6 linked regions of the Xenopus tropicalis genome follow. The protein of the gene in region 5 binds, or shares a complex with, the protein of the main gene of each other region. Links are inferred from orthologs where the notes say so. Each region holds a gene or a part of one and is shown on either strand. Other genes may lie near its edges.

Region 1 (5,036 bases), on a different chromosome or scaffold from region 5:
ATTTACCAAGAAGAAATGAGGAGGAAAAGATGTGAATGTTAGCCAATGCAAAGTCAATTCACCAAAACTTGTCATGCTCTCCTATTAGTAAATTGCTGCTGTTGTGGTGACTTTTTATTTTTCCCAAAATACTTCACATTTTAACTTTTTTCTTTAGTAAATATGCCGCATAGCAACTGCAACTTTAATACATATGCATTTGTGAGTTAAAAATACAGCTGGGAGTGCAGTGCTTCCCAAGCAGGAAAACCCTAAGGGCATGGTCTTGATCTCAAGCCCTCTTTGAGATGAAACATTTGGTTATAGCCCTGACTAGCTCCTAACAAGGCTAAAGATACTGTATATTGCCCCAAGAATATGTAGGACAGCATATTAATGTTGACTCCACACATTCATTAAAGCTGCACTTGCATATAGGAGACCAAAGAGACGTGTTTCACAAAAAATACTATAGGTATGGAACCTGTTATCCAGAATGCTCAGGACCTGGGCTCTTTCGGAAAAGCAATCTTTCCTTTATTTGAATCTCTCTACCATAAGTCTGCTAAAAAATAATTCAAACATTAAAGGAGTTGTTCACCTTTGAGTTAACTTTTAATATGATGTAGAGAGTTCATTCTGAGACAATTTGCAATTGGTCTTCATTTTTATTGGTAGTTTTTTAATTATTTATATTATAATTATATTACTTTTTGTTCCGCAGCTTTCCAGTTTGGAAGTTCAGGAGTTATGTGGTTGCTAGGGTCCAATTTACCTTATTAACCAGGGAGTGGTTTGAGAGGACTGATATATGAATTGTAGAGGGGCTGAATAGAAAGATATGTAATAACAAGTATCAATAACAAATAAAACATAATAAAAACAAATAAATAAAATTGTAGCCTCACAGAGCAATAGTTATATGGCTGCTGGAGGTCAGTGACCCCCGTTTGAAAGCTGGAAAGTGGCAGAAGAAAAAGGCAAATAATTCAAAAACTATAACAGTTAAATAATGAAGACCAATTAAAAAGTTGGTTAGAATTGGCCATTCTATAACATATTAAAAGTGAACTATCCCTTTAAACCCAATAGGATGGTTTTGCCTCCAATAAGGATTAATTATCTTAGTTGGGATTAAGTACAAGGTACTGTTTTATTATTACAGAGAAAAAGGAAATCATTTAACCATTAAATAAACCCAATAGGGCTGTTCTGCCCCCAATAAGGGGTAATTATATCTTAGTTGGGATTAAGTACAAGGTACTGTTTTGTTATTACAGAGAAAAGGGAAATCATTTCTAAAAATTAGAATTATTTGTTTAAAATAGAGTCTATGGGAGATGGCCTTCCCATAATTCAGAACTTTCTGGATAATGTGTTACAGGTCCCATACCTGTATAACTGGGCCACTGACCCATAGTCTGAGCCACCTGCCAGGTGAAAAAAATGATTTCCTTTTTCTCTGTAATAATAAAACAGTACCTGTACTTGATCCCAACTAAGATATAATTACCCCTTATTCTATTTAGAAAATACTGCCCTGCTTCCAAGACTCCAGACCCCCCCCCCCCCCCTCTCCCTCCGTAGAAGACAAGCAGTATGGGAACAAATATTCAAATGTCTGCGATCTTCTTAGGGAAATCTTGCACATGGCTGCTTACTGCTGCTTCCTATAGTAATCCTACTACATATATCCGGCAGCAGTGAATATATCTATTAAACACCTTCCATAGTACAGGTATAGGACCCGTTATCCAGAATGCTTGGGACCAAGGGTATTCCAGATAAGGGGTCTTTCCGTAATTTGGATCCCCATACCATAAGTCTACTAAAAAAATCAATAAAACATTAATTAAACCCAATAGAATTGTTTTGCCCCAATAATGATTATTTATTTCTTAGTTGGGATCAAGTACAAGGTACTGTTTTATTACTACAGAGAAAAAGTAAATCAGTTTTAAAATTCTATATTATTTTATTAAAATGGAGTCTACTGGAGACAGGCTTCCCGTAATTCGGAGCTTTCTGGATAACGGGTTTCCGGGTAAGGGATCCCATACCTGTATTCATAATGCAGGGACTGTACACAATGCAATGTATGGGGCAGCACACACACAAAAGGAGTATGATTATAGTGTGTATAGACATTAATAGGGATGCAGGAGTTCCAACCTGCAGCAACAGTCACCAGTGAAGGCAGCACACACACACATATACATATATATATATATATACACTTTATAATTAATATTATTATTATTTATATAGCGCCATCAATTTACGCAGCACTTTACAGAATAGATGTATACATATGTACCCAGGCACAGCTCCCCTACAGATGCACTATAATCATGAAACAAGTGTTTCTGGGGTTCATTCAGTATGAAACACTGGTCCCAAAAACCTGTGCTTAGTTTTCTAAATTTGTATAAATAATAAACAAACAAAAGGAATTCTGGGAATGAATTCCAAACTCCTAAAAAAAATCCCATTTACATGGGTTTATCCTATAGGCTACAGCTTAATGATTTGTTTATAAATAATAAGAAAGTAAAGAAACTGCTAGGGAAAAATAAAATCCCACATGTAATATGCTGGTTGCACACGCAGAGCTGATACAAGTGCAAAGCATGGCTTTTACACTCCCTTAGGGCTGTCGGTTCCTGTCATTAACTCTTTAGTGTGAGATTCTTCTACTAGAAAGTGGCAGCTCCATCATCTGCTCTCGCCTGGAACCAACCAATCAGCGGTCCCAGGAAGGTTTAGGGGGCACAGTACCTGCACGGCGGGGTTCTCCAGCGAGTCCATATGGATCTCCTGCTGTGATGCCGAGGAAGACTTGGACATGTTATTCTGGACCATTGGAATAAAGGAGAGTCAGCAGGATACTTGGATAAAGTAAAGCGGTCAGGCTGCCACTTGCATTCAGCACTAGCCACAGTAGCCTTTCTACTTAAACAGTTTCCATCACTATCACTGATATTCCAGGTGCTCCTTGAAGGCAGCTCCCCCCTTCCTGCAGCTCCACTCGCTGTGACTCCCTGTGAGTGCTACAGTTCAGCCGCCTCCCCTACAGGCATCACTAAGGAGGAAGGAGTGTCTAGAGCCAGGGCTTCAGCTGGGAGTTCTGAGCTGCTTCTGATCCAGCTGGGTCCCCAGGTTCCCATAATGGGCTTCAGTCATCTAAAGGGTCTGAGCAAGAGCTGCTTCCCTGCCTCTCTCCTCATAACACTGCAGCTCTCTCTCTGGCAGCAGCCGCCTCATACTTCTTACTTTCTTTCTTTTCCTCCACACACTGAGCCACAGCCTGGTCACATGATACTGTGTGTGAGAGATGGTGTGAGAAAATGGTTCTGCTTCAGTGTGGGAAAGTCAGACTGAACTTGTGTGCCTGTGTCTGTCTGTGTGTGTCTGTGTGTGCCTGTGTGTGTCTGTGTGTGCCTGTGTCTGTCTGTGTGTGTCTGTGTGTGTGAGTGTGTGCCTGTGTGTGTGAGTGTGTGTCTGTGTGTGCCTGTGTGTGTCTGTGTGTGCCTGTGTTTGTCTGTGTGTGCCTGTGTGTGTGAGTGTGTGCCTGTGTGTGTGTGTGAGTGTGTGTCTGTGTGTGCCTGTGTTTGTCTGTGTGTGTCTGTGTGTGCCTGTGAGTGTCTGTGTGTGTCTGTGTGTGCCTGTGTCTGTCTGTGTGTGTGTGCCTGTGAGTGTCTGTGTGTGTCTGTGTCTGTGTGTGCCTGTGTCTGTCTGTGTGTGCCTGTGTGTGTGTGCCTGTGTGTGTGAGTGTGTGTCTGTGTGTGCCTGTGTCTGTCTGTGTGTGTCTGTGTGTGCCTGTGTTTGTCTGTGTGTGCCTGTGTGTGTGAGTGTGTGTCTGTGTCTGTCTGTGTGTGTCTGTGTGTACCTGTGTTTGTCTGTGTGTGCCTGTGTGTGAATGTGTGCCTGTGTGTGTGAATGTGTGCCTGTGTGTGAATGTGTGCCTGTGTGTGTGAGTGTGTGCCTGTGTGTGTCTGTGTGTGAATGTGTGCCTGTGTGTGTCTGTGTGTGTGAGTGTGTGTGAGTGTGTGCCTGTGTGTGTCTGTGTGTGAGTGTGTGTCTGTGTGTGCCTGTGTGTGTCTATGTGTGTCTGTGTGTGCCTGTGTGTGTGAATGTGTGCTTGTGTGTGCCTGTGTGTGTGAATGTGTGCCTGTGTGTGTCTATGTGTGTCTGTGTGTGTCTTTGTGTGCCTGTGTGTGTGTCTCTGTGTGTGAATGTGTGCCTGTGTGTGTGTCTGTGTGTGTGAATGTGTGCCTGTGTGTGTGAGTGTGTGCCTCTGTGTGCCTGTGTGTGTGCCTGTGTGTGTCTATGTGTGCCTGTGTGTGTCTGTGTGTGCCTGTGTACCCTTGGTCCCGAGCATTCTGGATAACAGGTCCTATAACTGTATTACCTATCACACAAGGAGGGTACCCACTGGCTTCATAGTCAGTAAATTAGTGGTTTCTGCCCAAAACCCTAAATCTACTTTGCAGGATTCTGTGGTTACCTGACCCAGTGCAGAATTCTAGTGTGCCAGGCTTTCTAAAGAAATCAATTTTCTACAAACCATCTCTCAGACCCAGGACCGGAACTAGGGTAGGCAGAAGAGGCAGCTGCCTAGGGCGCAACGATTTAGGGGCACCAGGCAGACTCTCCTGCCTACCCCTAGTGCTAATTTGTCATTGCCTCCACCGCTTGTCATTAGCGGCGGAGGCAATGACCGACTAACCGGGGAGGTGGGCGGAGTTGGCCGACCGGGTTGCCTAGGGCGCACGGTCGGCTTGGCCCGCCCCTGCTCAGACCTTGAATTAACTGAAAGGTGCTGGGCATTCTATATGTTCACCTGTTACGCTACACTGGCACTCATGGTCCCTAAGAAATGCCCAGGGTAATGATTTCTAAGCATAACACTTAGATGTTCCCAGTTGGGACCTGAACTGGGAGACCTGGGAAATGAAAAGAAAATGGCAGTATGGTGCTCAGCACGTAGTACCCCAGACTGGTGATGTTTATGAACTAGAGGTGCAACAACTCACCCAACCTGTACCCATAGGGGG
Region 2 (5,160 bases), on a different chromosome or scaffold from region 5:
TAACTGTTACTGACTTGTAGCTTCAGCAGGTCAAACCCATGTTGTGTGGTTTGTTTGGCTTCCCCATTATCTGCTCTTTGTATGAAAGATGCTCTGCCATATATAATAGGGTGACAACCCTGTGCCTCCTCTAAACGGGTGACATTTAATTGTTTTTATTATCACTGGTTGATCATTTGTACCACTATTCCATCTGCTGATCAAGATGTTGCCCTGCGCATGGTGCATCAGCAGACGAGCAAACTGGTGCTGGAAACACATATAAACTTATAGCTGCTCCATTCTAGAAAGTTAACCCCCCCCCGTAACAAATCTAGCTGCACATTAGCACTAAACGGAAGAGCGTCACAATAAAATGTACACTTTTTTATGCTATGAGAATAATTCTCCAGATTTTGAACAGAATAAAAAAAAAAATAGAATGTTGTGTTCTTTGGTCATCAAGGAGACTCATTGGAGACTCCCCTGCCCCCCTGAATTGGCTTCTGTGCCCACTCCCATATGAATCCCCACACCTGCCTGTTCTCTTACCTGAAAGCTGACGCGGAGCAGAGATTTATATGCAGTACTGGAGGAAGCAACCCCTGTGGTCCGGGCCCCCCTGTCCCCTGCCCCCCCCCCCATCCTGGTGACTGTGGGGTCTGCTTCCTCCATTCTTACGCCACTGTTAACTTTTAGTATGATGTAGAGAGTGACATGCTGAGACAATCTGCAGTTGGTCTTCATTTTTTATTATTGGTGGTTTCAATGCATTTAGCTTTTTGTTTAGCAGCTATTCAGTTTGGAATTTTAGCAGCTATCTGGTTGCTAAGTTTCAAATTACCCTAGCAACCAGGCAGTAGTTTGAGACTGGAATATGAATAGTAGAGTGGATGAATAGAAAGATAAGTAACCCCCGTTTGAAAGCTGCACAAAATGATACAAAAAATATAAAAAGACCATTGAAAAGTTGCTAAAAATTGGCCATCCCATGAAATTAATTTAAAGGTGAAACACATTTCCTGAAATTATTATAACAGAATGTTTAGAGCCAGTGTTGGAATGTTTTGAGTCTCTTGAATTCTATCCATGGAATGCAGTGAATGTGTTGGGTAAAATATCTTCCAATGCTTAGCATACTGACTGCCATTTTTATATTACACAAAGCATATAAACTGGTGATTCCCCAACACATAACCTTTAGTATTTCACAGAGCAATTTAATCTAAGCAATCTAAGCTTTATAGATGTTTTTCTTTCTTCTGAATAATTTACCTTTCTGTTTGCCTCCCTTCTGGAATTCCTTCTGCCAAACCACAAACAGGCCTGAAGCCTTTTCCTGGCATTTCATATTCATTAGTGGGAAAGAGGGAAAAAAAAGCACATTTAAAACCAAAACATATTATCATTTCCAAGTTGAATTCCAGTAAAAATAGGAATTGTTTTGTGTGTGTGACAAACTCCCAGGAATGAAATGACTCCTGCGCTTTCCTCAGTTTCCCACCTCTCAGCCACCTCTCCAATTCCTGGTTGGGCCTACTGCCTCCGTGCTATGGCTGCTTGTAAAGTTTCCGATTTCTCTGTGTCAGCCTTTGCCTCTCAGCTGTCCTGTCACCTCCACACTTGTCACTCCCTCTCCTCTGAGGAGCAGTTTGTTTCATTATCTGAGAGGAGTGAACGAAGGATCTCTGTGCCCCTCACCTAAGGTCTGAAAGTGCCTTCTGAAGACAAAATGTTCCAGTAGATCCCCATCTGAGAACTACAGGTGTGTAAGGTTTGTCTAGGCATTGTACGCCATTTCTGTTTGCCCTTTAATGCTTCTTTGTATTTCCTTTTAAATGATCTTTATGCCACATAAAACAAAATATCATGTACCTGCTTGGATTTCATTTTAGTTATCTTGTAAAGAAAATTCCACATACACAATGTTTCGGCCACATCAAGGTTGTTAATAAATATATTGATCTTTATCATTATTTATAGCAATGATATATTTTTGTGAGTTTAAATACAGTGGAACTGTAGTGTTTCAGCTGAGGCAGAAGCGCAGGGATTCTGATAGTTGTAGTTCAGCAAGAATTATGGGGGAAAGGGGGCAAGATGCCTATTCCTGAAATAGGCACATTACCTTGGTTTCATTTGCTTTTCTGACTATAGCAAGTCACTAACAAATGCTTAACACAAATTGTAAGCTCTTTAGACAAAGATTTATTGCTTTACAGGGGATGCAATCATTATAGTGTTTGTTCTAATACTTTAGATCACTGTATAGGGATTTCTTGTGACAGTGATTTATTTCAGTTTTAGAAATATTTTATTTATCTTTATGTTTGCATTTAATGTCTATATCCTGTTACTTCTGCCTTATGGCTGAGATTCTAGCTATCCTTATAAAATAACATTTGGTTATAAGAGTCATGGAGCACCGGTCCGGAACCCACTGTTTCCATCACTGCAGCCTTTACAGTCCTTAAATGGATACACGGAATGCTGGAAAACTAAGCTTAGGCAGCGCAAACCAAAACACTGTTGCAATTTGATTTTATATCATAAGTAAAAGAAAATCGAACAGATCTTGTTTCTTTAAGTCTTGCCTAGTAGTTAAAACATTTTTCAAACATTCTACTGCTTATTCATTCCCCCCGACATTATAATCTGATAATTTTTTTCATGCTGTGAAACAAGTTGGCTGCCATACATTTTAGAGAACCAATAAAATAGCTTATAGGCATATCTTATCTAATCGACTCATTTTCAAAACCCACTGTGATCACCCATCTTTCCTCCCAGTGTGTAAGCAATAAACTTTAGTGGGTGTGTCAGTGGCACTTTGCCAAACATCCGCTTACATTCCTGCCAATGCTGATTAAAAATGGGGATATTTGTGGCCATGTTTCCACTCCACAAGACCACACCCAAACCTGCCCATAACTCCACCCACTTTTCAGTAAGCCTGCGACCATTTCATAACCCAAAACATGAGACTGCCCTAGCTAAAATGGAATGGTTAGTGGCCAAAAAAATTGTCTTCTCTTGTCTTTAACTTTTATTTATTCTAGGATAATTCCATACTAGATATGTTAGGGGATCTAATGTAATTTAATCTCTTTACCTCTTGTTTGGTCCTAATAGCTGCCTCCTGGGGCTGTAAGGTAGTGTGAAACACACACATCACTCAGGTGCTGCCAAAGACTCCCCAATAAGAAACACCAGTATGTTCTTCCATTCAGTAGCAGCCTTTATACATGTACAGTATGTGTGTGAGTATGAGTGCCAGCATCTACATCTACTTCCATCCAAATATTTTGGAAGGTGCTTTCTCTTTACAACAAGATGCAAACTGCCTGTGTCACATTCACTGTTTCTGTCCTGTCTTTGGACACATAAGCTGTTAATTTTAACCCCTCGCATCTACAAAAAGTATACAGTCAGCTGCCAAGCCTTTAGAATTTGTGTGGGATGATGTCCCATCAGAGCGCTCAGACAGAGTACAGCTGTTATCAGCCATCAAACATGGCTTTTAATATCTCCAGGGCTTCAGTTACACTGCTTACGAAAATAGTTTGTCCACAAAACCCCAAGCACTGTCTGTGGTTAATATACCGAAAGCTTCAGGCGTCTATGGTTTTCTGCTTGCTGTATTTGCGTAATTATACTGCATGCATTCAAACAATGGTATTTAAACAATGTGTAGGTGGCATATAGGAATACAGCTGGTAGGGAGTATGGCGCCAACAGCTCTAGAACACCCTTGTGATGAAAGAATTTTCATAGTTCCAGAACGTTCAGTGAACTAGTGGTTCTCTGTACAAAATACGATGATGAAAGAATTTTCATAGTTCCAGAACATTCTGTGAACTAGCGGTTCCCTGTACAAAATATGAGATGAAAGAATTTTCATAGTTCCAGAACATTCTGTGAACTAGCGGTTCCCTGTACAAAATATGAGATGAAAGAATTTTCATAGTTCCAAAACATTCAGTGAACTAGCAGTTTTCGGTACGAAATACAATGTTCTGTTGCTTCATTAGATTACACATGGCACCCATAGGGATCCTCAAAGAAAGCATTTACTGACTGGATCAGATGTCGGATACAGGTATGAGATCTGTTATCTGGAAACCATTTATTTAGAAAGCTCCAAATAATGGAAGGGGACATCTCCCATAGACTCAATTTTACCCATATAATTTTATTTTTTTTTCTCTGTAATTATGAAACAGTGCCTTGTACTTGATGGTAGCTAAGCTGTGAATCCATATTGGTGGTAAAACCATCCATTGGGTTTGTTTAACGGTTTAATTATTTTTTTTTTTGTGGACTTAAAGTATGAAGATCCAAATTATAGATCCATATAGATTGTAAGCTCTACGGGGCAGGGACCTCCTTCATCTTGTGTTTCTGACTCTTATTCCAACTGCACCTTGTATTTATTGTTGTACTTTGTATTTATCCATTATCTTTTGTATTTATCCATTATCTTTAACCCCCTGTCTGTATTAATGAATTCTACTGTACAGCGCTGCGTACATAAGTAGCGCTTTATAAATAAAGATATACATACATACATTATGGAAAGAACCCTGAGCCTTCTGGAAAACAGGTCCCATACCTTGAACACACAGATATAATGCTAGTTAGCACAATCCTGTATTTTAGCCTCATGTATTTGGATTACTCTGTAGGCTACTGTATCTAGATAGCAGCCAAAATAAACTTATGGTAAGTCAGTATTTATGAATCAACCATTTTTATGGCAGTGTACAAAGGGGGCGAAAAATTAATAGAGGCTGAATCCTGCCTTTTTGAAGCTCAGCTGTTCTGTGACAAAGCTGGCGGCTCCAGAAAAAGGTTGTCATTACATTCTGACTCAGAGAGGCATGGGATTGATCTCTGCATTCGTTACATTCTTTTGTTCTTCAGAATTTAGAACCTTTGTAACCTTCTGGCACCCTACTTCCACTGTATGCTCTATGGAGCAGAGACTCACATACCTGTAGATACTGGAAATGTCTAAAACAAGAGAAAAACTTGTAGCTTCCCTAGTGAAATCCACTCTGCTGAAGCCACAAATCAAGAGAAGTATCTGTATTCTGCTGCAATAACTTCTACATGACTATGATGGAGCAAACTTACTGCCCATAGCAGTCTTCTCCTTTACAAGCCACGTGGGGGAGGATT
Region 3 (5,168 bases), on a different chromosome or scaffold from region 5:
TCTGTTCTTTCCAAAAATGTACAATTTTCTGGGATAAACCTTCTGTTAGTGGAATTTTGGCCTTGAAATCCAAAGTATGCAGTTTTTTTGGAGCAGTGCTTTGGGAATTTGGTAGTGTACTGCTGGGAGTTTTTGACCTATACAAGTGAGAAATCTCCATAAAACTATATATATTTGGTATTGGCACGTTCAGGAGACATGGGACTTTCCAAATCAGTTGTATATTCGTGCATAAAATAATTTTTGTTTCTAGTATGTGTGATTATATTATGGAAAATTTGATTTTTTTTGCATTTTTAGACATTTAGAAGCCTATATCTTGTTACAGAATTGGAATTACACAAAAATTCTACCATATTTTGAAAGCTTAGGTTGTTCTGAAAAAAACGATATATTGTTTTCCTTGGTAAACTAAAAGTCCCCCCGAGGAAAGGCCCCTAAAGTGAAACAGTGCAAAATGTTCAAAAACTGTCTGGCAATACAAGTTCCGCTTTGACCAAAATGGCTGGCAGTAGAAGGGTTAAACCCTTCCAAAACCTAATAAGAATATACTAATTAGGATTCGGACTCGGTTTGGTATTTGCCCAACTCTTTTACGAAGGATTCGGGGATTTGGCCGAATCCGAAAAAGTGGATTCGGTGCATCCCCATAATACATAGTAACACCAACCTGGATTAGAGTCCATCACATTCAACTTGTAGGAAACATTTTACAAATTGATTTAGAAGAATGGGAGCTGCCAGTTGGGGCACACAGAGAGGAATGATTTCCTTCTGAACTGATTAAACTAAACTGATTCTGAATTATTCCCTTCTAAACTTAGAAAGGTAAATTGCAAACTAATTAGCCTAATATGGACTTACCCCATGTTCCATCTTCCCTCCAATATCAACACAATTAGTGGCCATTTGGCAAAGCACTGGTGGATACAATTTCTTATTCCGCAATAGAAGAGTTGAACTTTCATTTTAAACAATGAAAATTCAACTCTCAATAGTTTCAAAGGTGGCTTTTTGCTGTTCTCACCTTGCCATATGGCAGGAGCGGCCCTGCTGCCTAACACAGGCAGCACTGTATTCACTGAGGCTGTCACAGGTGCAGAGACCTGTGGCAATTCAAAAATGTGGAAGGCAGTGTGCAAAGTGCAAACTTAAGATTGCACCCTTTATTTGCACTTTGCAGCCTGCCTTTCACTTAGTTAATGACTCCCTATAGTCTTTATAGAACTCATATCTCCATCTTTTTCCATTCAATATAATGAAAGAAATTGATCAAGGCTTCTATCACAATGTGTAGTTACTCCTGCTGTATATCCATCACTGAACATGAGCTCATAGCCCTGCCAATAAAGGTCATTGCCTGTAGATGTGGAATTATTGCTCATTGTGAGTGGCCTTAAAGGACAGGGAATGGTAAGCTATGTGCCGGGGGCTGCTCCTTGCAGAATAAAAAAAAAATCCATTTGTGCCTTTCAAAGATTTTTTTCCCCCCCATTGTGTTGCCACAAGCCATTAATACAATTATTCGGCACTTAAATGTCTGTGAATCCATTATTTCAGCCAGGCTTAGGCACTGAGAGGTGGAAATGAAATGAGAGAAACAGAAGGAGGAGTAAGAGAGGCAGGGAAGGGGAGAAATTGTGTGTTTTGTGTGTGTTTGATGGAGAGAAAAGCTATGAGCACAGCGAGGCAGATAAACAGAGAATGCAAAGTCTGCTTTGTATATAAAAAAAGCTTCTGAGAGTGCGGCTTTGGGCTATTTATGCCCCTTCTATGTCTTTCTCTGACTCCAGTGCAACATTTCTTCTGAATGAGGTAACCATTTGCCTTTCTTTACTGCCTTAAAGGGAAGGTTAGTGTTGTTGCATTGAGGGCTATTTTATCTGAAGAACAGAGCAGCTTTTTGGGGATGTGCAATGAGCCATGTTGTGCTTAGTGCTTTTAATATAAAACCTCTTGCTTTTTACTGAAACACAGAAGAATGGTAAACAAAGGTAAAGGTGGGGATAAAAAGGCACAGGGGATAGGTACCACCATTGACCACAAACAGAAAGAAAACTGGGAAGGGGCATGCTGGTACATTAATATTGTGTGTGTGGGGGGGGGAAGCAGTGAATAGGGATACTACTAAATTGTCTTCTATAGGATTATGAGCAACACCAATGTCACTGTACTTTGTTGTATTGAATCGTTAGTGTATGAATCCAAAAATAAAGGTTAAAAATTAATAGTAATAAGGCACCATACACTCGGCAAAAGGAAAACTTAAAAGGCAGTAGCTATTGCCAGGTGGAATGATCTTTTATTATATGGAAATGTATAAGAAGAAAAAACAAATAGACAGCGATCATGGAGAAACTGACAGCTGCTGACAAGCAACAAATGAACATGATTTAGCCAGGGAGGGAGGCTGAGACGGAGGGAAAAGGATCAGGCATGACAGGCTCTGGCTCAGCTGGATTGCAAGAGATGGCTCCTAATCAGCTTGTCTCTGATTTTAATTGACTGTTAACTATCTCATCATTGCCTTCTTTCCCAAACCACCCATAATCCACGGCTGTGTTGAAATCAGCTTTTACACTTGCCTCCATTATCCTACCTACATGCCATGGTTCTGTTTTCTCTGTGACTAATAACATAGATTTGCTGAGCTACACATATAATAAGCAGTCGGGCCCCACTAACCCAATAGTCCTTGGTGGATTTACATTAGAAATTAGAGTATTTTTATCTGCCCAGAACCATTAAAGTGGAGATTCATCTTAAAACGAATTTACAGCATGGGAATGCTGTTCTTAGTCAATATCATCATCATTTATTATTATAGCACCAGAAATATCCAGTTTTGATTTTGATTTTTCTTTGTGATGGTTTAATTATTTCTGCTGCTGTGTTGTTAAAAGCTGAGCTTGTGTGGTTGCTAGAGTAAAGCTGGGCATACAATGTAAGATCCTCTTATTTGGCATGGTCACCAATACATGTTTCAATAAGCTGCCAAAGGATCAAGTCAGCACCTTTTATGAGCCCATGTATGGCAACATTACAAGGGATAGTGGTTTCAATGGCAGACTGGACACAGAGCCATTTCTGCAATAAGTGCAAATCACACCCAGAAAGTACTTTACACTGGTAAAAACAGAACCAATTTTCTATTGTAGCGCATTTGCTCACAGATGGCAGCAAAAACAAAAATTTTATGGTTTTCATGTTCTTTTCCTTTTCATTCTGCATTTTTATTCGTTTGTGCTTTTTCAATTTGGATCTTTTAATAAATGACTAGACCTTCATAATTTTAGTGGAAATGAGTTTAGTTGTGGTTTCAAAAAACTTATAATTATAGTTAGTGGATTAAACTAAATACAGGTATGAGATCCATTATCCAGATAAATAAATCATATCTTGAAAAAATATTTCCTTTTCTCTGTAATAATAAAACAGTATTATACAATTAATCCTTATTGGAGGCAAAACAATCCTACTGGGTTGATTTAATGTTTACATTTTTTTTTTAGTGCCGATCCAAATTATGAAAAAGACACCTTATCTGGAACACCCAAGGTCCTGAGCATTCTGGATAACAGATCCTTTACCTGTATAGTGACTCTATATGGTCTTATTGTTGGCCCAAGTGCTCTGTGTTACATAAGCCTGATTTTGGCCGCAACTTGATGTGCTAAATTGGCCAAAGATTTATTTGTTTGCCATCTAAATGAGTACATTTTACGCTGTTTACCCTATATAGCTGGCCATCTTTGGTGATCACAAAAGGACTGTTTCGGGATATAAATGTGCATGTTTTAAGATACATTAATGGCAATTAATGGCAATGATAAGGGTTACGTGAAAGAACATGAATTGTTAGATTTAGGCCTTAAAACTAATGCCACAAGGAGTGTATTTTCAGCAAGCCTGAAAAATGTAACAATTGGCCTACCTTATGCCTGCACCCGAATGAGTGGAATACACTGGGGGCAGGCACATGTAGCCGATATCCACCAAAAAACGTGAGACTTTGCATTTTCAGCAGATATTCACTGTGGGCCCTATCACTAGAATGTAAAGGCTGCTCCCCTCCATAAGTATGCCATTGACTGTACTCCTTGCCATGTGTAATGTACAAAAACATCATAATGATGTCACTACTAAACATGCGTTAATGAGTTTGCAAGTCGGTGCAGAAATGCAGAAAACAGATTGTTGCTGGGTTTGAGCATACTGGGGACGTGGCCAATTAGGCATATGGTGTCCCTCCCTCTATTTTTTTAGACAACCCTGGTTGGAGGGATGGGTAAAGCATTCTGTTCCTCCCCTAATTCATTCCTTGCTGGAATTCTGTGGCCCCTATCCATACATAAGACATTGCATGAAACTGTATGTTTCATGCAATGTCTTATGTATGGATAGGGGCCACAGTTATGCACAGATACATATGAAGGCTCATTTCCAAAAAGAGTACAATGTGCAATGTACAAACTGCAAAATTCAAATGCAAATCACCATTTTTTTTCAGCATAAAGCAGGCAGAGTATGACACACACAGGCAGCATAGGGCAGGCAGAGTATGGCACACACAGGCAGCATAGGGCAGGCAAAGTATGGCACACACAGGCAACATAGGGCAGGCAGAGTATGGCTCGCACAGGCAGCATAGGGCAGGCAAAGTATGGCACACACAGCCAACACAGGGCAGGCAGAGTATGGCACACACAGACAACATAGGGCAGGCAGAGTATGGCACACACAGGCAGCATAGGGCAGGTAGAGTATGGCACACACAGGCAGCATAGGACAGGCAAAGTATGGCACACACAGGCGGCAGCATAGGGCAGACAAAGTATGGCACACACAGGCAGCATAGGGCAGGTAGAGTATGGCACACACAGGCAGCATAGGGCAGGCAGAGTATGGCACACACAGGCAGCATAGGGCAGGCAGAGTATGGCACACACAGGCAGCATAGGGCAGGCAGAGTATGCCACACACAGGCAGCATAGGACAGGCAAAGTATGGCACACACAGGCAGCATAGGGCAGGCAGAGTATGGCACACACAGGCAGCATAGGGCAGGCAGAGTATGGCACACACAGGCAGCATAGGGCACGCAAAGTATGGCACACACAGGCAACACAGGGCAGGCAGAGTATGGCACACACAGGCAACATAGGGCA
Region 4 (4,283 bases), on a different chromosome or scaffold from region 5:
CAGTCTCTATAATTTCTTCTGCTGTTCCTTGGAATCTCCATAACTTCTCCTAGTGTTCCATGCAGTCTCCATAATTTCTTCTGCTGTTCCATGGAATCTCCATAACTTCTCCTAGTGTTCCATGCAGTCTCTATAATTTCTCCTGCTGTTCCTTGGAATCTCCATAACTTCTCCTAGTGTTCCATGCAGTCTCCATAATTTCTTCAGCTGTTCCATGGAAGCTCCATAACTTCTCCTAGTGTTCCATGCAGTCTCCATAATTTCTTCAGCTGTTCCATGGAAGCTCCATAACTTCTCCTAGTGTTCCATGCAGTCTCCATAATTTCTCCTGCTGTTCCATGGAAGCTCCATAACTTCACCTAGTGTTCCATGCAGTCTCCATCATTTCTAGTACTGTTCCATGGAATCTCCATAACTTCTCCTTAAAGATTGATATTACACCTACAACTCCTGTTCTTTCACCTACCAACTCATCCAATTATTTAACACCTTTTGCATTTTTCTGAGCCTGATTTTTTTACCATATTTTTTCCCAGAATTCAGGTGTATCTGCCTGTTAGTAGATGGTGCACACAAGCTGCAATACACCCTATATTAATTGTTTAATAGCTCTGCTATGTAACTCCATGAAAGTATTATCTTAATGCCTTTTTAATCCTTTCCTGGCTGGGCAGTGTAAGGCAGTGTAGTTGAATATTTGCTTGAAATGTTCTAACCTACTTTTATGTGTGCATGCTTTTAACCCTTCTGCTCCTGTTTCTGCATGCTTTGTCTGTCTTACTAACCAGGGTTCCTACTTGGTACACGGGGAGCTGAGGCCGGATGGAGCAGATCAGATGGGTATGTACGAGGGGCAACTTCGGAGAGGTCAGATGGGCTCTCGCATCCTTTCCCGACATGACACGCTGGAGTCGGAGACACAGGGCAGTCGGGACTCTGCCTACACAGAGCCAGGTGATTCCTGCATGGACATAGAGACTGACCCTTATGAGGATCCAGAGCCTAAGAGCCAAGGAGGAGAGACCAGGAGGCTCCAGCGTCAAGGGTCTTGGGAGGAGCTGGGTCCGGATCAAGAGAACCTACTGCAGAGGAGAAGGAGGGAATCTCCAAGGCCGCAAGGGAAAGGCAGGGAGCAGTACTGGCATGAAGGGGATGGCAGGAACAGGGGGCAGCTGGACAGCTGGGGTAGAGATGTATGTATTCGTTAGGCCTGGGCATAAGGGAACCACACAACTCAAACACACACTTCCCTTAGCATTCGACTGTATTACCCTAGCCTCTTCTGCCTACTGTACAGTTCTGTTTCACTCCTCATTCTCGGCATCTTGCATTACATTTACTCCAGAAGCATTGCCATCTGTAACACCCCCAATGCCCTACTGCCACCACCCGTTCCTTTTTACACCTCAGGGCTCTTACATGTAGCCACTGGACTTTCCTCTGGTTCTCTTTAACCATCACTGCCCTGTGATCTACGGACATTCCTACTGCCCTGTGACTCTCTCTCTCTCTCACTCTTTGCACTATCAATGCTACCCACTGTCTCTTTGCACCAACACTGCCCTTTTGCAATCTAACTGCACTGACACTGCCCTATGACACTCTGCACTGACTTGTATTCATTCCCTGCCCTTTGTGCATTTCCCACTTCTCTGGGATCAACTCACAGCACTAACAGTGCCCAGTGACCCAGTTACTGTACCATGTCTACAGACCTACTGATTGTACGACATTGCCTTCTCATCGCCCACTATCCTTATCCTAGCCCACTTCAAGCCTGGACTGGCAATCTGTGGGGTCTGGCAAATGGGGCTGCTGAAAGATGCTATAGACAGTCACTATTTATTGGGCTGGGGGGGTCTGTTTGTGCCTCTGGGTACTGGGAATGCCAGGGGGGCTGTAAGGTGCCACAGACAGTCACTATTTATTGGGCTGGGGGGGCTGTTTGGGCCTCTGGGTACTGGGAATGCCAGAGGGGCTGCTGTAAGATGCCATAGACAGTCACTATTTATTGGGCTGGGGGGGGGCTGTTTGGGCCTCTGGGTACTGGGAATGCCAGGGGGGCTGTAAGGTGCCACAGACAGTCACTTTTTATTGGGCTGGGGGGGCTGTTTGTGCCTCTGGGTACTGGGAATGCCAGGGGGGCTGTAAGGTGCCATAGACAGTCACTATTTATTGGGCTGGGGGGCTGTTTGGGCCTCTGGGTACTGGGAATGCCAGAGGGGCTGTAAGGTGCCATAGACAGTCACTATTTATTGGGCTGGGGGGGCTGTTTGTGCCTCTGGGTACTGGGAATGCCAGAGGGGCTGTAAGGTGCCATAGACAGTCACTATTTATTGGGCTGGGGGGCTGTTTGGGCCAATGTGTACTTGGAATGCCAGGGCCTATTTTGATTTCCAGTCCAGGCCTGGGCCACTCTCGTAGTCTCACTTCCCCAACACACATTGCACTATCAACCCAGCAATTGCACAACGCTGTCCTCATGAGAACCCAGTGTCTTGTAGTACCCTCTTTGCACTACCCCAGTCTCAGCTCCCTGATTTAGAGAGGAGGAAGAAGCCCTTCCAAGCCAGTAGCAACCCCCACGTTCCAAGCTCCTCCTGCACCCCTTATAGAAACGAGTACCAGGTCTCCGGCAGCCTGACCTGTTGGGGGTTTCGGAGAGACCCCACCACCCCACTCAACAATGTGCCATAAACTGACTTGCTGGAGAGAAGAATGCATACCACGAATGTATTACACACTTTGTGCCAGAAGGGACAGCCTCTCTTAGAGCTGACGAATTACCCACATATCTGGAAACATTGCCCCCCCCCCCCCCGTGACTAGCCGGGCGGAAGGAGTTAACAGATGCCTGATGTATACACGTGCCTGCATATGTTGATCATTTTTTTTGCCTGCGGTTCCTTTCATAATAATGATTCCTGCTTGGTTTGTGTTCCTAATTTGTACCGACCAAAGGGTTTTGGCATTGAGTATTCCCAGCACAAGCTTTTTCCAAAGGGACGAAGATTGTCGTTTTTTCATTGTGAGTTACTTTTTTGGTTTTTTTTTTGGTTTTTTTTTTGGACTTGTTTGTAGTAGAATCTTCAGAGGCCCATTCTCCGCTCATATTGGTTCAGGCCCAGAACTTCCGAGGGATACAGTGAGATATATACATATATAGGTGCCGAAAGTGTATTCATCCCTTCCTCAGATATCTCTTGATCTAGTTTATGTGAATATATATATTTATAAACATGAATTCAATGTATGCATTGTATAAACAAGCCTCTTAAATGATTTATACATACATTTACACGTATTTATACAGTCCTAATTAAAACCTGGTAAGATACTTATATATGTATATATACATGACTGCCTACCGTGGGATAAGCAGGGTGCGATTTGTACGCCGTAATGACTGGATCAATACTGATATTAAAGGATATGTAAACCCTCAAAACAAATCAGTGTGATGCAGCTTAGAGCGCCCTTTTGCAACCTACATTATTATTATTTTTATAGGTTTTAAGATATTAGCAGTTTATGATGGATTTTTAAAGAACAGCGCCACCTGCTGTTGATTTTGGACAACTAGATACAGTTGTTCACCTTTGAGTTAACTTTAAGTATGATATAGAGAGTAATAGCCTATGACAATTGCAATTGGTCTTCATTTTTTATTGTTTGTAGTTTTTTTAATTATTTCAGCTTTTGTTTAGCAGCTCTCCGGTTTGGAGGTTGAGCAGCTACTTGGTTGCTAGGATTCAAATTGCCTTAGTAACCACGGTGTGGTTTGACGGATGTATGAATAGGGGAGGACCTTAATAGAAAAATAAGTAATTAGGGATGCACCCACTTTTTTGGGTTTGGCTGAACCCCCGAACTCACTCTGAAGGATTCAGCTGAATCCCGAACTGAATCCGAATCCTAAATAATTGGGATCGGAAGGGGTTTAAAATCTTTTTCACCTGACTATTTAACCCTTTCCGAATGCTAATCAGCATAGGCCAATTAGGATTCGGTTCGGCCGAAACCGAATCCTTAAAAAAAAGCCAGGACTCGGCCGAATCCCGAACCGAATCCGGGATTCGGTGCATCCCTATAAGTAATATAAAGTAACAATAATGATTAAACTGTAGCTTTACAGAGCAATAGGTTTTGGTTACCAGGGTCAGTGACCCCCATTTGAAAGCTGCAAAGAGTTGGAAGAAGAAGGCAAATAATTCAAAAACTATAAAAAATAAATAATAAAGACCAATTGAAAAGTTGCTTAGAATTGGCCTTTCTAAAATATA
Region 5 (4,422 bases):
TATGAGGTCCATGTATAGCTCGTTTAAAGCAAAGTCATAAGCTTCTTACATCTATTAGTATAAATATATTTTTGTACTAATACTATAAGAATTAGGGGTTGATTCGTGTGAGAGCACATCATGTTCTAGATTTAATATATGGCACTAAGCAACGGAATATTCATTTTTAACGCAATCAGACCTTGCTAGTTTCTTCCTCTCCTTCTCTTCTTCTTCCTCTTTCTGAGCAGAGGTAAGACTCTCAGCATCGGCCAAGTTGTCCACAGCAATGGCCAAGAAGACATTCAGAAGTATATCTGTTTGCAGAAGATAAGGTCTACAACACCTATGACCTACTGTTCATCTGGAACCAATAGAAATCCTATTGAGAGATCAGGAAGAACAAGTTTCCAACTCAAGCCCAACTGATAAGGCTCATGTTTTACACAGGTGTACACAATACTATCGCAAGGAAGAATCTCGGGGCAAGAGTGCAAAGACAAAGGATACAATTTCCACAGATGAAGAGTATGATGAAATAAATGCACACAAGCATCCCAGGAAAGGAGGGTCCCCCATATGCCATGATTCCATCATACATTACTGAGTTCCAGTCCTCTCCGGTAAGGATCTAGGCAGAAAAAATAACACATTCCAGTATAACTGAATAAAACACTGCTAGTCTAGAACGTATAATGCACGTAACATATTAACACAACCATAGGCCGGGACAAGCCCTTTACTGCACTCTACAGAATGGAGCTGCACTAAGGACAGGGTGATATGCCACCCCTAAATTCTTGCCACCATAGGCCTGGGCCTTCATATAATTTACTGGGCTTTTTATATATTTTATTTAGTAGGGGTGGGTAATAAACTGGAACCTGCAGTGCTGTCACACCAAACTCCTTGGGTTGATAGACCATGTTGTGTTCTGGCTTAATGTACAACACAATGGAAAGCCTATAGGACAGTGGTTCTCAACCTTCCTAATGCTGTGACCCTTTAAGACGGTTCCTCATGTTGTAGTGACCCCCAACCATAAAATATGTGTTTTCCGATGGTCTTCGGCAACCCCCAAAGGGGTCCCAACCAACAGGTTGAGAACCGCTGCTATAGGAGGTAAAAAGGATCCAGTCAGCAAGCCTGGGAGGCAACGGCAAAGCCATTTATAAAATCAAGGTATGGTGGCCCTTTAATCTGAACCCCCTTATCCCACACGCAATAATGTTTCCTTGACATTAATAAAAAAAAATGTTATCCCTGCACCTGAAAGACAGTAAGCAAAGCCTGTGGGAAGTTATCGAACGTGCTCCTGCGGGTCAGCATCTCGTCAAAGTTAAATTTGCCGCCAAAGAGTTGCATCCCCAGAAGGGAAAAGATGATGATGAAGAGGAAGAGAAGGAGGAGAAGGGAAGCGATGGAGCGCACGGAATTCAGCAGCGAGGCCACAAGATTACTCAGAGAGTTCCAGTACCTGCAAAACCAGAACTGAATTATTTGTGAATATAAGCAGCGAGATTATCAGAAGGGCACTCATACTGCTCTGCCGAGTCCGACAGCTATCATGTATGCATACCTACAGAAAATAGTTAGTCGGATACCTGGTAATCTTGAATATCCTGAGAAGGCGCACACAGCGCAGCACGGAGATTCCCAAGGGTGACATGATCCTAGTCTCGACTAATATGGTCTCCAAGATCCCACCACACACAATGAAGCAGTCAAACCGATTAAACAGGGAAACAAAGTAGGCTTGCAGGCCAAGGCTGTACATTTTGAGAAGCATCTCTGCTGTGAAGAGAGCCAGGAGCACTTTGTTGGCTGTGTCTGCGAATAGAGGAGAATATGAAATATGATAAGGCCTTATGTGTCAATTTAATTTGTGACAACAGACATTAAATGATTCCCTTTTCTCTGTAATAATAAAACAGTACCTGTACTTGATCCCAACTAAGATATAATTACCCCTTATTGGGGCAGAACAGCCCTATTGGGTTTATTTAATGGTTAAATGATTCCCTTTTCTCTGTAATAATAAAACAGTACCTGTACTTGATCCCAACTAAGATATAATTACCCCTTATTGGGGCAGAACAGCCCTATTGGGTTTAATTAATGGTTAAATGATTCCCTTTTCTCTGTAATAATAAAACAGTACCTGTACTTGATCCCAACTAAGATATAATTACCCCTTATTGGGGCAGAACAGCCCTATTGGGGTTTATTTAATGGTTAAATGATTCCCTTTTCTCTGTAATAATAAAACAGTACCTGTACTTGATCCCAACTAAGATATAATTACCCCTTATTGGGGCAGAACAGCCCTATTGGGTTTATTTAATGGTTAAATGATTCCCTTTTCTCTGTAATAATAAAACAGTACCTGTACTTGATCCCAACTAAGATATAATTACCCCTTATTGGGGGCAGAACAGCCCTATTGGGTTTATTCAATGGTTAAATGATTCCCTTTTCTCTGTAATAATAAAACAGTACCTGTACTTGATCCCAACTAAGATATAATTACCCCTTATTGGGGCAGAACAGCCCTATTGGGTTTATTTAATGGTTAAATGATTCCCTTTTCTCTGTAATAATAAAACAGTACCTGTACTTGATCCCAACTAAGATATAATTACCCCTTATTGGGGGCAGAACAGCCCTATTGGGTTTATTTCATGGTTAAATGATTCCCTTTTCTCTGTAATAATAAAACAGTACCTGTACTTGATCCCAACTAAGATATAATTACCCCTTATTGGGGGCAGAACAGCCCTATTGGGTTTATTTCATGGTTAAATGATTCCCTTTTCTCTGTAATAATAAAACAGAACCTTGTATTTAATCCCAACTAAGATATAATTAATCCTTATTGGATTAAAAACAATCCCATTGGGTTAAATTCATTATTTATTGATTTTTTAGTAGACTTAGGTATGGAGATCCAAATTACAGAAAAACCCCTTATCCGGAATACCCTTGGTCCCGAGCATTCTGGATAATGGGTCCTATACCTGTATATATCAAATGGGATCATTACCCAGTTGTATCGCCTACATAGAAACACTTGCTTACCTTGTACCTCGGTAAGCCAATCGGGTTGGTTATAGTGCTCAGAAGCGATGGTCAGAGTGTTCAGAAACACAAGAAATATAACCAGCCAATAAAAGACGTTTGATTTTACAGCCGCCCTACACTTCCTTCTGCAAAACCGGTTCCATCTCCGCCAGTACCGACTATGGAAGACAGGAGAAACATGGTTATGAGTAGCAAAATGTCAGCTGGCACATGATATCAGAGTGAGGAGTAAAGGTGGCCATACACGGGCAGATCCGCTCGCTTGGCGATGTCGCCAAGCGAGCAGATCTTCACCCGATATCCCCACCTACGGGTGGCGATATCGGGGAGGCATGTCGGTGAATTTGATCGTTTGGCCCTGGAGCCAAACGATCGAATTCTGCAAGCGGCAATGGGGCAGTCGGTTCGGGGACCGCATCAACGAGCCGATGCAGTCCACGATCCGACGGGATTTTCTAACCTGGCCGACCGATATCTGGCCTGAAATATCGGTCGGCCAGTCCGATCGTTTCTGCCCCTACACGGGCCGATAAGCTACCGAGTCGGTCCAAGGGACCCATATCGGCAGCTTCTATCGGCCCGTGTATGGGGACCTTAACAGAGACTAGTTCAAGGATTGATCTTCAAGAAGACTGTTCCATGCGTCTATCAACCTTCCTGTAGACAACTGCTCACTTGGGTTGCCTTTCAGATGTTGGGATCCTTGATTCTAGCGACCTGGGGCTTTTGGACTTTGCTTCCCTCAACTTCACTGTCAATCCCCTTTTTACGAAAAAAGACCCATATAGCATGCAGAATAAGTTCCGGAACTTTGGAACCTTCTGGTTGGTGTCCAACTAAGGAAGCTAAAGCATTAGTTTTGTAAAACAGGGAAAGAACAAGAAAAATAATGTATTGGGAGGATCCCTGGGGCCAAACGATCGAATTATAACGACGGGTATAGGCAAAGTCGGTCCGGGGACCGCATCAACGAGCCGATGCTGTCCCCGATCCGACAGGCCCATCGTTAGTGCCCAAAGAAGGGCCTATTAGCTGCCAAATCGGTCTAAGGGACCCATATCGGCAGCTAGAATAGGCTGTGTATGGGGACCTTAATGGTCGCAAAGTTTCTTCCTCGGCTAAAGGTGGCCAAACATGGGCCGATTGTAACTGCCGATATCGGTCCCTTGGACCAATTCGGCAATTAAGCGGCCCATAAAGGGGCAGCAATGAAGGGGCCTGCCCCACCGATATCTGGCCTGAAATTGGCCAGATATCGATCGGGCAGGTTAAAAGATTTAGTCGGATCGGGAACCACATCGGCTCATTGATGCGGTCCCCAAACCGACTGCACCCTTAACAGTCATTCTAATTCCCCCGATA
Region 6 (4,743 bases), on a different chromosome or scaffold from region 5:
GGTGCCCCCCTGGGGCAATACTCTGGTTGTATAACTCCTGGTGCCCCATGTGGGGCAATACTCTGATTGTATAACTGCTGGTGCCCCCCTGGGGCAATACTCTGGTTGTATAACTCCTGGTGCCCCCCTGGGGCAATGCTCTGGTTGTATAACTGCTGGTGCCCCCCTGGGGCAATACTCTGGTTGTATAACTCCTGGTGCCCCATGTGGGGCAATACTCTGATTGTATAACTCCTGGTGCCCCATGTGGGGCAATACTCTGATTGTATAACTGCTGGTGCCCCTTCAGGGGTAATGTATTTATAGTCCTTCTGGTAACCGCTGGTAGCAATAGTGTAACTATAACCGCTGGCGCCCCCTGTAGGTGTATTACTGTAATTGTAGAACCCCCGGTGCCCCCTGTAGGTGTATTACTGTAATTGTAGAACCCCCGTGCCCCCTGTAGGTGTATTACTGTAATTGTAGAACCCCCGGTGCCCCCTGTAGGTGTATTACTGTAATTGTAGAACCCCCGGTGCCCCCTGTAGGTGTATTACTGTAATTGTAGAACCCCCGTGCCCCCTGTAGGTGTATTACTGTAATTGTAGAACCCCCGGTGCCCCCTGTAGGTGTATTACTGTAATTGTAGAACCCCCGGTGCCCCCTGTAGGTGTATTACTGTAATTGTAGAACCCCCGGTGCCCCCTGTAGGTGTATTACTGTAATTGTAGAACCCCCGGTGCCCCCTGTAGGTGTATTACTGTAATTGTAGAACCCCCGGTGCCCCCTGTAGGTGTATTACTGTAATTGTAGAACCCCCGGTGCCCCCTGTAGGTGTATTACTGTAATTGTAGAACCCCCGGTGCCCCCTGTAGGTGTATTACTGTAATTGTAGAACCCCCGGTGCCCCCTGTAGGTGTATTACTGTAATTGTAGAACCCCCGGTGCCCCCTGTAGGTGTATTTTTATGATACAGTTGGTGTACCTGGTGCTGTCATTGCAGTCACATATGGAGAAGGTATGTCGCTTGGCCAATCAGAGATGCCATTCAGCCCCCACCCCAGAGATGATTTCCAGGAGGACTGGGCACTATGGCAGCTCCTGGCACCCTTGGGCACTATGGCAGCTCCTGGCACCCTTGGGCACTATGGCAGCTCCTGGCACCCTTGGGCACTATGGCAGCTCCCTTTCCATAGAAATAGGCAAATGCACAGATGATAAAGTAAAACTTGGTTCTATTTACCCTTGAAATTTAAAGACATTCAGTGATTAGATAAACACCACAAAGGCCAAAGTCACACATTATTTCTCATATCTTCCCACCCCCTGAGCCCCCCGACTCTGCAGCTGTAACGACGCCCTGTGAGTCCCTCAGTCTCCCTATGGGTCGGTGTCTATTCCTGTAATGGGGGGGGGGGCACAGGCCGGGGGACGCTATTTAAAGCCAGTGAAATAATCCAGTAAATAAAGGTGCTGGGGGCAGGGAGAGAATCCCAGCTGCTGTAGGGGGGCTGCCCCCAAATCCCCCTCCCACTAGTTACCCAGAGGGGTTCCATACAGGGGGTGGGGTCCCCCAAATCCCCCTCCCACTAGTTACCCAGAGGGGTTCCATACAGGGGGTGGGGTCCCCCAAATCCCCCTCCCACTAGTTACCCAGAGGGGTTCCATACAGGGGGTGGGGTCCCCCAAATCCCCCTCCCACTAGTTACCCAGAGGGGTTCCATACAGGGGGTGTGGTCCCCCAAATCCCCCTCCCACTAGTTACCCAGAGGGGTTCCATACAGGGGGTGGGGGCCCCCAAATCCCCCTCCCACTAGTTACACACCCAGAGGGGTTCCATACAGGGGGTGGGGGCCCAAAATGAATTTGCTGTGGGGCCCAGTAATTCCTGGTTACGCCATTGGCCAAGCCTTGGGGAGGAGCTTACACTATACAGGAAAGAAGCGAGATATTGGGGTGCGCCACCCCCTCTGCCCTCACTCGCCCATTGAGTTCAGTCAGTGAATGTCGGGGGTCCATCTCCGGTCCGTGACCCCCCGGAATCTCCCCTCACATGTCGGGCTCCGCGTCCATACAGGTCTCCCAGGGGTTCCTGGGCATGCGCGGCAGGGAGATGAGCACCAGGGCGACGCCGCACACGAACAGCAGCACGAAGGCGGCGCAGGCGCAGGCGAAGGACCACGAATAATAATACTCGATCCAGACCGTCTCCTTACTGTCTATCATCCGGTGCACCGACTGTCTGATCACTTCCGCCGAGATAATCATGCACAGCCCTGCAACGGCAAGCCGGGGGTTAATCTAATGTTTCTTAGATGGGAATTCAGCTGTTTAACTGGATGTATTGCATTGGCTGAGCACAAACCCCTCCCCCTGTGAGCTGCCATCATAGAGTTCTAGTCCCACCCACTGCTTGGGTCACAGACTCCCTGCCCCTCCCCCTATAAACTGTCATCAGAGGGCTCTAGTCCCACCCACTGCTTGTGTCACAGACTCCCTGCCCCTCCCCCTATAAACTGCCATCAGAGGGCGCTAGTCCCACCCACTGCTTGGGTCACAGACTCCCTGCCCCTCCCCCTATAAACTGTCATCAGAGGGCTCTAGTCCCACCCACTGCTTGGGTCACAGACTCCCTGCCCCTCCCCCTATAAACTGCCATCAGAGGGCTCTAGTCCCACCCACTGCTTGAGTCACAGACTCCCTGCCCCTCCCCCTATAAACTGCCATCAGAGGGCGCTAGTCCCACCCACTGCTTGTGTCACAGACTCCCTGCCCCTCCCCCTATAAACTGCCATCAGAGGGCTCTAGTCCCACCCACTGCTTGGGTCACAGACTCCCTGCCCCTCCCCCTATAAACTGTCATCAGAGGGCTCTAGTCCCACCCACTGCTTGGGTCACAGACTCCCTGCCCCTCCCCCTATAAACTGTCATCAGAGGGCTCTAGTCCCACCCACTGCTTGGGTCACAGACTCCCTGCCCCTCCCCCTATAAACTGTCATCAGAGGGCTCTAGTCCCACCCACTGCTTGGGTCACAGACTCCCTGCCCCTCCCCCTATAAACTGTCATCAGAGGGCTCTAGTCCCACCCACTGCTTGGGTCACAGACTCCCTGCCCCTCCCCCTATAAACTGCCATCAGAGGGCTCTAGTCCCACCCACTGCTTGTGTCACAGACTCCCTGCCCCTCCCCCTATAAACTGTCATCAGAGGGCTCTAGTCCCACCCACTGCTTGGGTCACAGACTCCCTGCCCCTCCCCCTATAAACTGCCATCAGAGGGCGCTAGTCCCACCCACTGCTTGTGTCACAGACTCCCTGCCCCTCCCCCTATAAACTGCCATCAGAGGGCGCTAGTCCCACCCACTGCTTGAGTCACAGACTCCCTGCCCCTCCCCCTTATAAGCTGCCATCAGAGGGCTCTAGTCCCACCCACTGCTTGAGTCACAGACTCCCTGCCCCTCCCCCTGTAGGCTGCTATGAGTGGGTGCCCTAGCCCCCTTGCCTTGTTGGCTTACAATGTTGGCGGATTTGTTGCCTCCCTGATTTGCCCCTGAGTGTGGCAGAGACATGGGGGTTTCTAGGGGCACTGGGGGTACAAACCTGCAAAGATGAAGAAGAGGCCGGCGGGTTTGAGCAGGTAGTCGAGCTTCTCCTTGAAGGACAGCAGGGTGCACACTGTGCCCATAGTCATGAACCCCACTCCGATGATGGCGATGGCGGCTGCCGAGATGCTGTACTCTGGGGGGGGGCAAGATCAGGGGGTGAGAGGGCAGAGTGGAGGCTTCTGGGACATACACAACGAGTAACGAGGGTTGGGGGGGCAGGGACATTGGGGAGACAAACGCACAGTGATGTCACAATGGGCCCCTCACCTTTCTGCGTCGTCACCTCGAAAATATCCGCGTTCTCCCCTGAAGTGAAATGCTTGAAGTAGGTGCAGCTGTGCTCTGGGGGGGCAACACAACGGGGGTCAGATCACTCTGCGCGGCCATCTGGTTGCTAAGGTAACTGTGCTTAGCAACCAGGTACCAGTTTGGCAGTCGGACTGAACTTGATGCAAGTGATTATTTTATCATCAGGTCTTTGCCTTGTAGCTATCGACAGCCAATAGGAACAACTGCTGTTATCTCTGGGGTTCTGGGGATTCCCTGCACCCTGATTGTTAGAGATTTGGCTCCACCCCCCTGACCTTATTCCCATGGGATTCCCTGCACCGATTATTAGAGATTTGGCTCCACCCCCCTGACCATATTCCCTTGGCCATGTGGCACTCACATGGTTAAACTGCTCCCACGTTCAGCTTTGTATCTGTCTATCGGTATTGATCCCAATTGGTTATTGATTGTGCTGTAGGGTGAGTGTGAGAGTGGGGTGACTCTGTGGGGGGCAATTCCTTATTGTATGTGGGTCCCTGTGTAAGGGGGTCTTTCTTGGCAGGGGATTGGCTGCCATGTTACTTTACTTGGCGTTCTTGCCCTACTGTCTCCCTCTTGCCCTACTGTCTCCCTCTTGCCCTACTGTCTCCCTCTTGCCCTACTGTCTCCCTCTTGCCCTACTGTCTCCATCTTGCCCTACTGTCCCCATCTTGCCCTACTGTCTCCATCTTGTCCTACTGTCTCCCTCTTGCCCTACTGTCCCCATCTTGCCCTACTGTCTCCATCTTGCCCTACTGTCTCCATCTTGTCCTACTGTCCCCATCTTGTCCTACTGTCTCCATCTTGCCCTACTGTCCCCATCTTGTCCTACTGTCTCCATCTTGTCCTACT

Evidence for each region.
Region 1: cacna1c (region 5) and cacnb2 share a complex: the UniProt entries of both Homo sapiens proteins name them as parts of the calcium channel complex. The link is inferred for Xenopus tropicalis from reciprocal best matches to the Homo sapiens genes CACNA1C and CACNB2.
Region 2: cacna1c (region 5) and stac3 share a complex: the UniProt entries of both Homo sapiens proteins name them as parts of the calcium channel complex. The link is inferred for Xenopus tropicalis from reciprocal best matches to the Homo sapiens genes CACNA1C and STAC3.
Region 3: cacna1c (region 5) and cacnb3 share a complex: the UniProt entries of both Homo sapiens proteins name them as parts of the calcium channel complex. The link is inferred for Xenopus tropicalis from reciprocal best matches to the Homo sapiens genes CACNA1C and CACNB3.
Region 4: cacna1c (region 5) and cacnb1 share a complex: the UniProt entries of both Homo sapiens proteins name them as parts of the calcium channel complex. The link is inferred for Xenopus tropicalis from reciprocal best matches to the Homo sapiens genes CACNA1C and CACNB1.
Region 6: cacna1c (region 5) and cacng1 share a complex: the UniProt entries of both Homo sapiens proteins name them as parts of the calcium channel complex. The link is inferred for Xenopus tropicalis from reciprocal best matches to the Homo sapiens genes CACNA1C and CACNG1.

What each region holds. Positions count from the first base shown.
Region 1 is NC_030682.2:28,261,303-28,266,338, forward strand, and holds the start of cacnb2 (voltage-dependent L-type calcium channel subunit beta-2), read right to left. Parts: upstream 3,433-5,036; 5' UTR 2,842-3,432; coding exon 2,758-2,841; intron 1-2,757. UniProt on the Homo sapiens protein: Beta subunit of voltage-dependent calcium channels which contributes to the function of the calcium channel by increasing peak calcium current. Plays a role in shifting voltage dependencies of activation and inactivation of the channel.
Region 2 is NC_030678.2:140,076,129-140,081,288, reverse strand, and holds the start of stac3 (SH3 and cysteine-rich domain-containing protein 3), read left to right. Parts: upstream 1-1,645; 5' UTR 1,646-1,753; intron 1,754-5,160. UniProt on the Homo sapiens protein: Required for normal excitation-contraction coupling in skeletal muscle and for normal muscle contraction in response to membrane depolarization. Required for normal Ca(2+) release from the sarcplasmic reticulum, which ultimately leads to muscle contraction.
Region 3 is NC_030678.2:135,903,509-135,908,676, forward strand, and holds the start of cacnb3 (voltage-dependent L-type calcium channel subunit beta-3), read left to right. Parts: upstream 1-1,662; 5' UTR 1,663-1,773; coding exon 1,774-1,815; intron 1,816-5,168. UniProt on the Homo sapiens protein: Regulatory subunit of the voltage-gated calcium channel that gives rise to L-type calcium currents. Increases CACNA1B peak calcium current and shifts the voltage dependencies of channel activation and inactivation.
Region 4 is NC_030686.2:10,416,810-10,421,092, forward strand, and holds the end of cacnb1 (voltage-dependent L-type calcium channel subunit beta-1), read left to right. Parts: intron 1-788; coding exon 789-1,208; 3' UTR 1,209-1,934; intron 1,935-2,263; 3' UTR 2,264-3,341; downstream 3,342-4,283. UniProt on the Homo sapiens protein: Regulatory subunit of L-type calcium channels. Regulates the activity of L-type calcium channels that contain CACNA1A as pore-forming subunit.
Region 5 is NC_030679.2:8,936,461-8,940,882, forward strand, and holds part of cacna1c (voltage-dependent L-type calcium channel subunit alpha-1C), read right to left. Parts: intron 3,219-4,422; coding exon 3,058-3,218; intron 1,810-3,057; coding exon 1,584-1,809; intron 1,457-1,583; coding exon 1,249-1,456; intron 611-1,248; coding exon 490-610; intron 297-489; coding exon 182-296; intron 1-181. UniProt on the Homo sapiens protein: Pore-forming, alpha-1C subunit of the voltage-gated calcium channel that gives rise to L-type calcium currents. Mediates influx of calcium ions into the cytoplasm, and thereby triggers calcium release from the sarcoplasm.
Region 6 is NC_030686.2:51,108,142-51,112,884, reverse strand, and holds the end of cacng1 (voltage-dependent calcium channel gamma-1 subunit), read right to left. Parts: intron 3,925-4,743; coding exon 3,850-3,924; intron 3,716-3,849; coding exon 3,578-3,715; intron 2,256-3,577; coding exon 2,029-2,255; 3' UTR 1,198-2,028; downstream 1-1,197. UniProt on the Homo sapiens protein: Regulatory subunit of the voltage-gated calcium channel that gives rise to L-type calcium currents in skeletal muscle. Regulates channel inactivation kinetics.